Mus musculus: one gene and its partner. The protein of the gene in region 2 purifies or fractionates together with the protein of the main gene of each other region. This does not show direct contact. Links are inferred from orthologs where the notes say so. Each region holds a gene or a part of one and is shown on either strand. Other genes may lie near its edges. The genes, in order: Pfdn1 and Pfdn2.

Region 1 (3,809 bases), on a different chromosome or scaffold from region 2:
GTCCTAAAAAAAAAAATATCTTTTGTGAGACTAGGTGTCTTGTAGCTCAGCCTGGTCTCGAATATCTTACAAATCTGAGTCCCAAACAACTCCTGAATCTCCTGCTTCTGACTCCCAGTTGTTAGGATTATAGGTGGGAGACACCAGGTCTGGCTCTACAGCCAGGATTTTGAAATAACGTGGGTGTTTTGGATTCTAGTTATGCAATGCAGATGTAGTACGTTGTTTCCTGCTTTGGGTCTCTGGGTTTATCTCCTGAGTATTTTATTTATCCCTTTTATTACTCTCTGGCTACTTGATAAATATGGCTTTTTTTTTTTTTAATGCACATTTGTTTTTGTGTTCATATTGGTCATGCGGTCTATGGATAGGGTCAATGAATAGGGTACATTTAGAATTTGCATAGTGTGATCATTCTGTTGACTTTTATCTATGCTTATCTTGGTAAATCTTACAGCTTTGTCAAGTTAGCATGATCTGTTTTAACAAATCTAAATTTGACTTGAAAGTTTAATTTCCTAAATCAAGCACTTGTTTTTCTCAGGCCTTCACAGAGCTTCAAGCCAAAGTTATCGATACTCAACAGAAGGTGAAGCTTGCAGACATACAGATTGAACAGCTGAACAGAACGAAAAAGCACGCACACCTTACGGACACGGAGATCATGACGCTGGTAGATGAGACTAACATGTACGAAGGTGTAGGAAGAATGTGAGTAAATCAGCGCACCCTTCACGGGGCTCTCTTAGGAGAGGCTTCAGGGGAATTAAATGGCAGAATGGTTTATTTTCAAATTGGGTTACTTAAAAAAGAAAACTTGGGTTAAAATAGAGAAATAACTTGCAAAAGCTATCTTTAAAAAAAAAAAAGGCATAAAACCCCAGGTGTGTGTTTTAAAATTTTATGTTTTTCACTCTCTCTCACTCTCTGTCGGGGCATGGGTATGTGTGCCTGTGCCTGAGACTTCCCTGCCCACCCCACCCCACCCTGCCCATGCCCATGCCCATGCCCATGGAAATGTTAGATCTCTTGGGCCCAGACGTAGGTGCTTCTGAGCCTCGTGATATCGGTGCTGGCAACTGCACTTGGGTCCTCTTTCTGCAGGAGCAGCTAGAATCTTTAACTGCTGAAAGCTCTCTCCAGCCACTCCCCTTTCAAAAATATTTTTCATTGACTATGTATGCATGGTATGGCTGTGTGTTGGTCTTTGTGAGTGAGTGCAGATGCCCACTAATTTATGCTTTGTACTAATTATCAATATAATCTATTAATGCTTTATTTTAAAGCATTCTAAAGGAGTGGAAATAGAGACAGGTTATTGAGAAAGGAAGAGCACTCCTGAGAGTGGGCATGGGCTAGTGAGCAGGGAAGGGGCTGAAAAGCCCTGTTTGTTGACATAATTAACCACTCACGTTACATTCTTTCTATCAAAAACATATTCTTCTCATGAGAGAGATCAAGTCGTCTTTATGTTTTCTGAGAACATGAAGACTGGGAAAGCCCTTGTGTACGGGCCACATTCCATTTCAGTTAGCTAATGGGGAAGAGCTGATTGTCTTTAAGGTGGAGGGGAGGGGCTCTGTGTTTGGCCTTTGGATGTTATGGACTAGGTGGGCCTTTAAGTTTGGAGAGCTTTTAGTTAGAATGGAATTTGACCTCCGTCTTGGGATGACTTCTTTTGTGATTGACTGGGAGGAAGCATAACATGTGTAGAGTTCTGTAATGACTTTAGAATGACATCATGACAAGGTGACCCTTCCCGTGACTAATTTATTCTTTCTGCTGAGGAGTGATGGTAAAGGTTGGAACCGCAGATATTTTCTCTTCAGTTCACATGTTTTTCATTTGGTCTTATTTTAAGAGAACGAGAGCCCCTTTTGTGAGTTCTTGTTTTTAATTTTGAGATGTTCTGTTTCTCAGTCTGGCCTCCAACTCTGTGTAGCAGAGGGTGACTGAACTTCTGTCCTCCTGCCTCACGTCACCAAGGGCGGGGATTACAGGTGCTGTTCAGTATTAGCTCCAGTTTGTGAGGTTGTTAATGGTACAGAACAGAATGGGAACCAAGTAGAACCCTTGATTGTGTGTCACGTAGCAGGAAATGTTGGCATTCACTGCAGGGTAATTTTCATCCCTTAATTTGAGTATCCTTGGGTCTTAAAACAGTGATGCCAGCCTATTACTTGGAATTCACACCATTACTTTAGCCTTTGTTTATAATAGCTAAAGTTATAAAGTTTTTGTTTGTGATTGATTTGTTTGTTTTTTCCAAGCTGGCCTTGAACTCAAAGGGAACCACCACCTGCCTCTGCGTCCTGAGTGCTGGGATTATATGTAGCGCTCCCCCTGACCCCCAACGCTTTGTTGATTTATGAGATGGGGATTCACGTGGCCCAGGCTAGCTTCCTGCTAGCTTCTCAGAGACCTTGCCCATCTGACCTTCCATCTTCCAAGGGCTAGGGTTACTCTGTGTACTTCATTGAAAATAATGTTCTCAATTTTCAAAAAGTTTTAAATTTTAATTGTTTTATGTTTGATTTTAAGAATCAAACCTAGGGCTTTGAGCATGCCAGACAAGTCTTCAGCCACTAAGCTGCACCCCCATCCCTAAAGTTTTATATTTCTTTAGAATAATGACATTTAGTAAGCATTGTGCATAAGTTGTGGGAGTTAGTTTTCTTTTTTCATATTGTCCAAAATTCTACAAGTAGATTGTAGTTCATGCAAAGTATTACAGAGTTTAAAGGCTTACATATGGGTACTTAATGGTAGAATGGTATTATTTTATATAAATTATGTTTCTTAAGAGAAATGTGCAGTTTTAGAGTTTTGGATGAGCCTTGGTTTTAAAAGGAGCTTTGAGTTCTGCACTTGGTTCAGCGTGAGCTTGCCCTGCATTGTAGGGCATGTGAGGTGAAATGCTTCTGTCACTTGGCCAGACAGAGGATTGGTGCCGCGGGGCTGGAGAGACTTGCTGAGTGCCAGTCTGGTCATGAGGATGTTGCCTCTCTAGATGCTAACCCTGGAATGCCTCCTTCTGAGTTTATGGTCTTGAGTAATCTGGAGGAGTCTCATTGTTATTCCAGCCTTTCCCTTCCCTTTTAAGTACTACGTGAGAATTCTGACCATGTGACTTTACCCCATAGTTTATATTTTGAAACAAGATTTTAAAATCCAAAACCCTGTTTTGTTTTCGAGTCTGCAGTAGATTTTTCTACTTTTCTTTTGACCCACAATTAGCAACATTCCTCTTTTTTTTTTTTTTTTGGTAGAATAGGTTTCATGTAGCCCAGCCTAGCCTGAATTTTTGCTCACTTGTTCTTTCTACTCCCAGGCCTGCTCACATCCATTCTTCACCATGCCAGAACCAATCATCCCTCACAGACCCTTTGCTTATTATCCTCAGTCCTTATAAGGGAAAATCTACTCTTGTTAGCCTCACACTCATGGTCAGATACTTCGTTTTTAATTGACCCATCCAGCCTCAGGTCCTGCAGCTTCCTGCTCGTAGATTTAGAGTAGCACAGACATCTCATCCCGTGGTCCTTGTTTTTGTTTTATCTGTTCAGGAGGATTTTGAGACTTTATATGGTTTTTAAATATGTTTTGGCTGATTCGTGATGTCTGTCATGGAGGGCGGGAAAGAGACCCAGCACACGCACCACACATTTTTACCCTTGCCACATGGTTTTTGCTTCTTTGGTTTTTTTTTTTTTTCATGTCATGTTTTGTGGGGGTTTTTGTTTGTTTGTTTGTGTGGGGGGATCTTTGGTTACTCCATTTTTGGCCTTCAGCATTTCTCTTTCCCTTGT
Region 2 (4,460 bases):
CAGGCTCACAAAGCCAAGAATAGCAAGGCCTAAAGTAGCACGGTCTACACAGCAAGTTCCAGAGGGAGAGCCTATCTCAGACAAAACAACAATAGTAAACCAATAAATGATAAAGAACAGAAAATAAAACAAGCACCTAGTACGAAGTATTACCTGCTCCTATTTTCCTTGTGAGAGACACACTAGGCTAACACACACATCAGTAATAAACCTTAAATTGGGCTGGGAAGAAAATTTCACAGGTAAAGAGCCAAAGAACCAGGGTTTGAGCCCCAGAACACACTTTTTAAGAAGGAAGAGGAGGAGGAGGAGGAGAAAAAAGAAGAGGAGGAGGAAGAGGAGGAGGAGGAGGAGGAGGAGGAGGGAAAAAAAAGGCAGGCAGGCAGGCAGGCATGGTACTGAGGCATGAACTGCCTGGCACTGGAATGCTAGTGAACTTAAATTCTGAGGCTTGTTTTCCCAGTGCTGAGGAAAGGGAGGATCAATGGACTCTCTGGTCAGCCATCCTAGCCTACCTGGTGAGTTCTAGGCCACGTGAAAAACCCTGTGTCAAAGAACAAAGTTGACTGTATCTCTTTAGGTCTTGCAATATATCTCTTTAAATTCTCCAGCATTTTCAATGCCAAGCAGTTCATGGCTCAATGCTTTTGAACACACTACTTCTAACGAAAAAAAATCTTCACATGACTAACTTTTCCCAGCCTTTAGAATTAAGCCAAAAAATCTAGAAAATAAAAGGAAATTAGCATTTAGAAAGACTGTTCAGATTATGTGCGTGCAAGTGTGTCTGTCTGTGCGAGATCAGGTGCTCGAGTGCAGAGGCCATCTCTCCAGCTCTAAGTAGCATTTGTTAAACACACTATGTAGTCTCTGTATTTAGTCATGGTGGAAAAAAACAAAACAAAACAAAACCCAAATGGATTTTCTTGCCTAGTACTCTAGTTACGAAATGGAAAACTACTGTGCTTTTACAGATAGACGAGGGTAAAAGGTAACAAGAGAAATCATATATAAATAAGAAATACAAAGCAAGCACAGGTCATTCTGATTCTAGGCCAGGAAACCCTCCCAACCATTCCACTACCCGCCATTCCCTTGCCTACTTACCTGCCACATCCGAAATCTACACTACTTTGGACTCTCTCTCCAAACTGTGCAAGAAAAGTTCATTATGTGCAGAAGTTTGTAGTGTAGGGTTGGAGAAATGGCTCGGTGGAAGAACGATTACTTTTATAGCGGAGGACCTGGGTTTGGTTCTCAGCACCCTCATGGTAGCTAATAGGCAGTTATCAGAGGTTTTGACCACTCTTCTGGTCTCTGAGGGCTCCTGCACACATGTGGTATATGCACATACACATGCAAACACACATAAAGTCTCATTGTTTTGTTTTTGAGACTGTGTTTTACTCTGTAACCCAGGCTAGCCTGGAACTGACAGGGTAATCCAGGGGGATTATGGGTATGGGCCACCACACTTGGCTGTGACCAAGTTTAAGACAAGGTCTATTTCATTTACCTGTTCCTCTGGGTTAAGCAAAGCCAAACACAAGACGGACTCTCCAAAGCATTAGCATTTTTTCCTTCCCACTATGTCAGAGGCTACACCCTCTTCCATCTCCAGAATTCCCCTGCACTTCAGTTCTCCCTGAACACTTACTTTCTAACTCTTTGACAGTGTGGGTTTTAGACTCTTTATGCTGATGCTTTTACCTGTAGGAATTGTTCAACAACCAACTGACAAATGTACCTATGATTAAAATTACTCTTCTGGGGCTGGTGAGATGGCTCAGCTGTTAAGAGCACCGACTGCTCTTCCAAAGTTCAAATCCCAGCAACCACATGGTGGCTCACAACCATCCGTAATGAGATCGGACTCCATCTTCTGGAGTGTCTGAAGACAGCTACAGTGTACTCACACATGAAAGAAAGAAAGAAAGAAAGAAAGAAAGAAAGAAAGAAAGAAAGAAAGAAAGAGAGAGAGAGAGAGAGAGAGAGAGAGAGAGAGAGAGAGAGAGAGAGAGAGAAAGAGAGAAAGAGAGAAAGAGAAAGAGAGAGGGGGTGGGGGGTGGGTTCTGCCCTCTTCCGAAGTCAATCTTTGCAAAGAGAGCACACCGAGCAAGCTCGAGGCCAGCGTAGGCCACTTAGTAAGACCGTGTCTCAAAGACGAAATAATCCGAGCCTTTAATCGCAGTATGTGGGAGGCAGAGGCAAGCGGATCTTCCAGGCCAGTTTGGTCTACAAAGTGAATTCCGGAAAAGCCAAGGCCGGACCCGACCCTATAGCAACCCTCATCCCCACCTCCAAGACAAAACAAACAAACAAACAAACCACAGACTCCTTAGTCAAAATAATTTACGGAACACTAAACTGCTCAGAGTCTGAGTCACGTGGCTCTGCAGCGTGTTGGTGATGGTGAACACGGTTTTTGAGCCATGAACTACATAAGCCACTCACTGACTAAGAACAGCTTGGAATTCGTTACTAGATGCCACGCCAAACACCATACGCTCTTTAGGGTACCTCGGAGAGGGGGCAAACTACGATCCATCTTCTCAGAGACCTGGCCAACCCTCCCAGACCCTGCAGCTCAGGGCTTTCTCCCTTGACTACCCACCCACACCGCGGGCGTGCCTCTCCCCTACCTACCCAGGCTCTAGAAAGGTTCGTGATCACCTCCAGAGACCCCCTCTCCCCCGTGCGTGCCCATGGAGACCGTGGAAAGGACTAAAGGCCCCTTCGAGCCACAAATCTTATCTTCTACACGAATTCGACACCGCCCCGGGTGCCTTGTGCGCTCGCGGCTCCTCACCTGTTCCGCCGACACCGCCCCCTTCCCCGCGCCGCTCCCGCCGCTCTTGCCCACACGACCGCTGCTGTCCGCCATCTTCCCCACCTGCAAGCTTTCCGGCCTGCGCACTCTCACTGCGTCACATCCGGCCGGGGGGTTACCGCCCACTTGCTCCTGCGCTCCTGGCTCCTGGCAGCTCTTGAGATCCGACCCCGTGAATGGTTTTGGCTGTGTCTTCATGTAGGACCTACTCCCAAACCCTGCCCGCTGCGGTGAATTCCACCTGCGATGCTTTAACTTGTGCAACAGAGATTCTTGCCCGGGGGGGAGAGGCGGGGAAGGACGCGCTAATCAGAGGGCGGGGGCTCGGGTTGGGATCTGGTCCTGTACCCATCTACCCACCATGAGATGGTGGAGATCTAGGGAGGGTGAACTTTCCTTCTGAGATTCGGGTATAAGGGGAAAGATACGTGTTGAGTCTATAAAGCTGTGCAGGTGGCACAGCCGAGAAGAGAATTGGGGAAACGAGGAAGGTTCCATGAGATGACTTGAACTGCGGAAACGTTTGGCAAAGGAAAAAGGGCTTCAGTTTTAATGTGAGATCACTGGAAGTTGAGGTATTAAGGCACCGATCATAGTCGCCTCTCCCATTTTCCCATTTTATATCTTTTCCTAGCTACTAGTAGTAAAAAGTATTTTCGAAGCCTTGGGGGAGGGGATTACTGGCCAGGCCTGGAAATGGCAGAGAATTCTAGAAACTTACGGCTTGAAAGAGGGTTAGGTGTCCTGATTTCTCACCTTCTTCAGGCTGGGCTTCATCACCAGGCCTCCTCACCAACTCCTGTGTACCGGATACCGATTACTTCGAACCCCAGTACTTTGTACTCAGCCCAGGTAACATATTTCGTAATGTTCTCTCTCTGGCGCATAGCTGCTTAGTTCGTGTTTATTAACTTCATAGTGGGAGACAAAGATATCTCCAAACATGTAATGAGTGAACTCCAGTAGCTCTAGGGTTATTATGCTCTGTAAGAATGAAAACAAGTTGCTGGGGTCACCTGTAATGCCAGCACTCGAAAAAAAGGAGGATCAACCAGGAGTTTAAGGTCATCCCCAGTTACATAGAAAGGCCTGTCTGGGCTACAAAAGACCGTGTCTCAAAAAAGAAAAAAGTCAAAAGAAAATAAAGTTTCTGGCTCCACCCCCACTTGAGCCTCTGAGTTTCTCCTAGATAGAAAATCTGAGGATACTGCCTGTGTCATTCACAGGCCCAGAACCATGTCCTCATCAACTTCCTGGGAGCTGCCCCTGGTGGCTGTGTGCCAGGTAACATCAACACCAAACAAGCAAGAGAACTTTAAAACATGTGCTGAGTTGGTTCAAGAGGCTGCCAGACTGGGTGCTTGCCTGGCCTTTCTGCCTGAGGCATTTGACTTTATTGCACGAAACCCTGCCGAGACATTACTCCTGTCCGAACCACTGAATGGGGATCTTTTGGGCCAATATAGCCAGCTTGCCAGGTACAAGGGTAGGGTTTGGGGGGGGGGGGGTTGTGTGTGTAGAACTCCCTGTTGAGCAGTGTTCCTGGATTGCCACAGAGGGGGTAGAGTTGTGTGTGTCGTGTCCCCCCCCCCCCCCAGGGAATGTGGAATCTGGCTGTCCTTGGGCGGTT

What was found.
Region 1: the proteins of Pfdn2 (region 2) and Pfdn1 purify together in Homo sapiens (affinity purification with mass spectrometry; 5 studies listed by BioGRID and IntAct, counting the BioPlex papers as one, with this or other methods). This does not show direct contact. The link is inferred for Mus musculus from reciprocal best matches to the Homo sapiens genes PFDN2 and PFDN1.

What each region holds. Positions count from the first base shown.
Region 1 is NC_000084.6:36,447,982-36,451,790, reverse strand, and holds part of Pfdn1 (prefoldin subunit 1), read left to right. Parts: intron 1-544; coding exon 545-711; intron 712-3,809. UniProt on the Homo sapiens protein: Binds specifically to cytosolic chaperonin (c-CPN) and transfers target proteins to it. Binds to nascent polypeptide chain and promotes folding in an environment in which there are many competing pathways for nonnative proteins.
Region 2 is NC_000067.6:171,344,136-171,348,595, reverse strand, and holds the start of Pfdn2 (prefoldin subunit 2), read right to left. Parts: upstream 2,922-4,460; 5' UTR 2,885-2,921; coding exon 2,810-2,884; intron 1-2,809. Other genes in the region: Nit1 (deaminated glutathione amidase), read left to right, coding at 3,027-3,028, 3,596-3,682, 4,057-4,308, 4,429-4,460. UniProt on the Homo sapiens protein: Binds specifically to cytosolic chaperonin (c-CPN) and transfers target proteins to it. Binds to nascent polypeptide chain and promotes folding in an environment in which there are many competing pathways for nonnative proteins.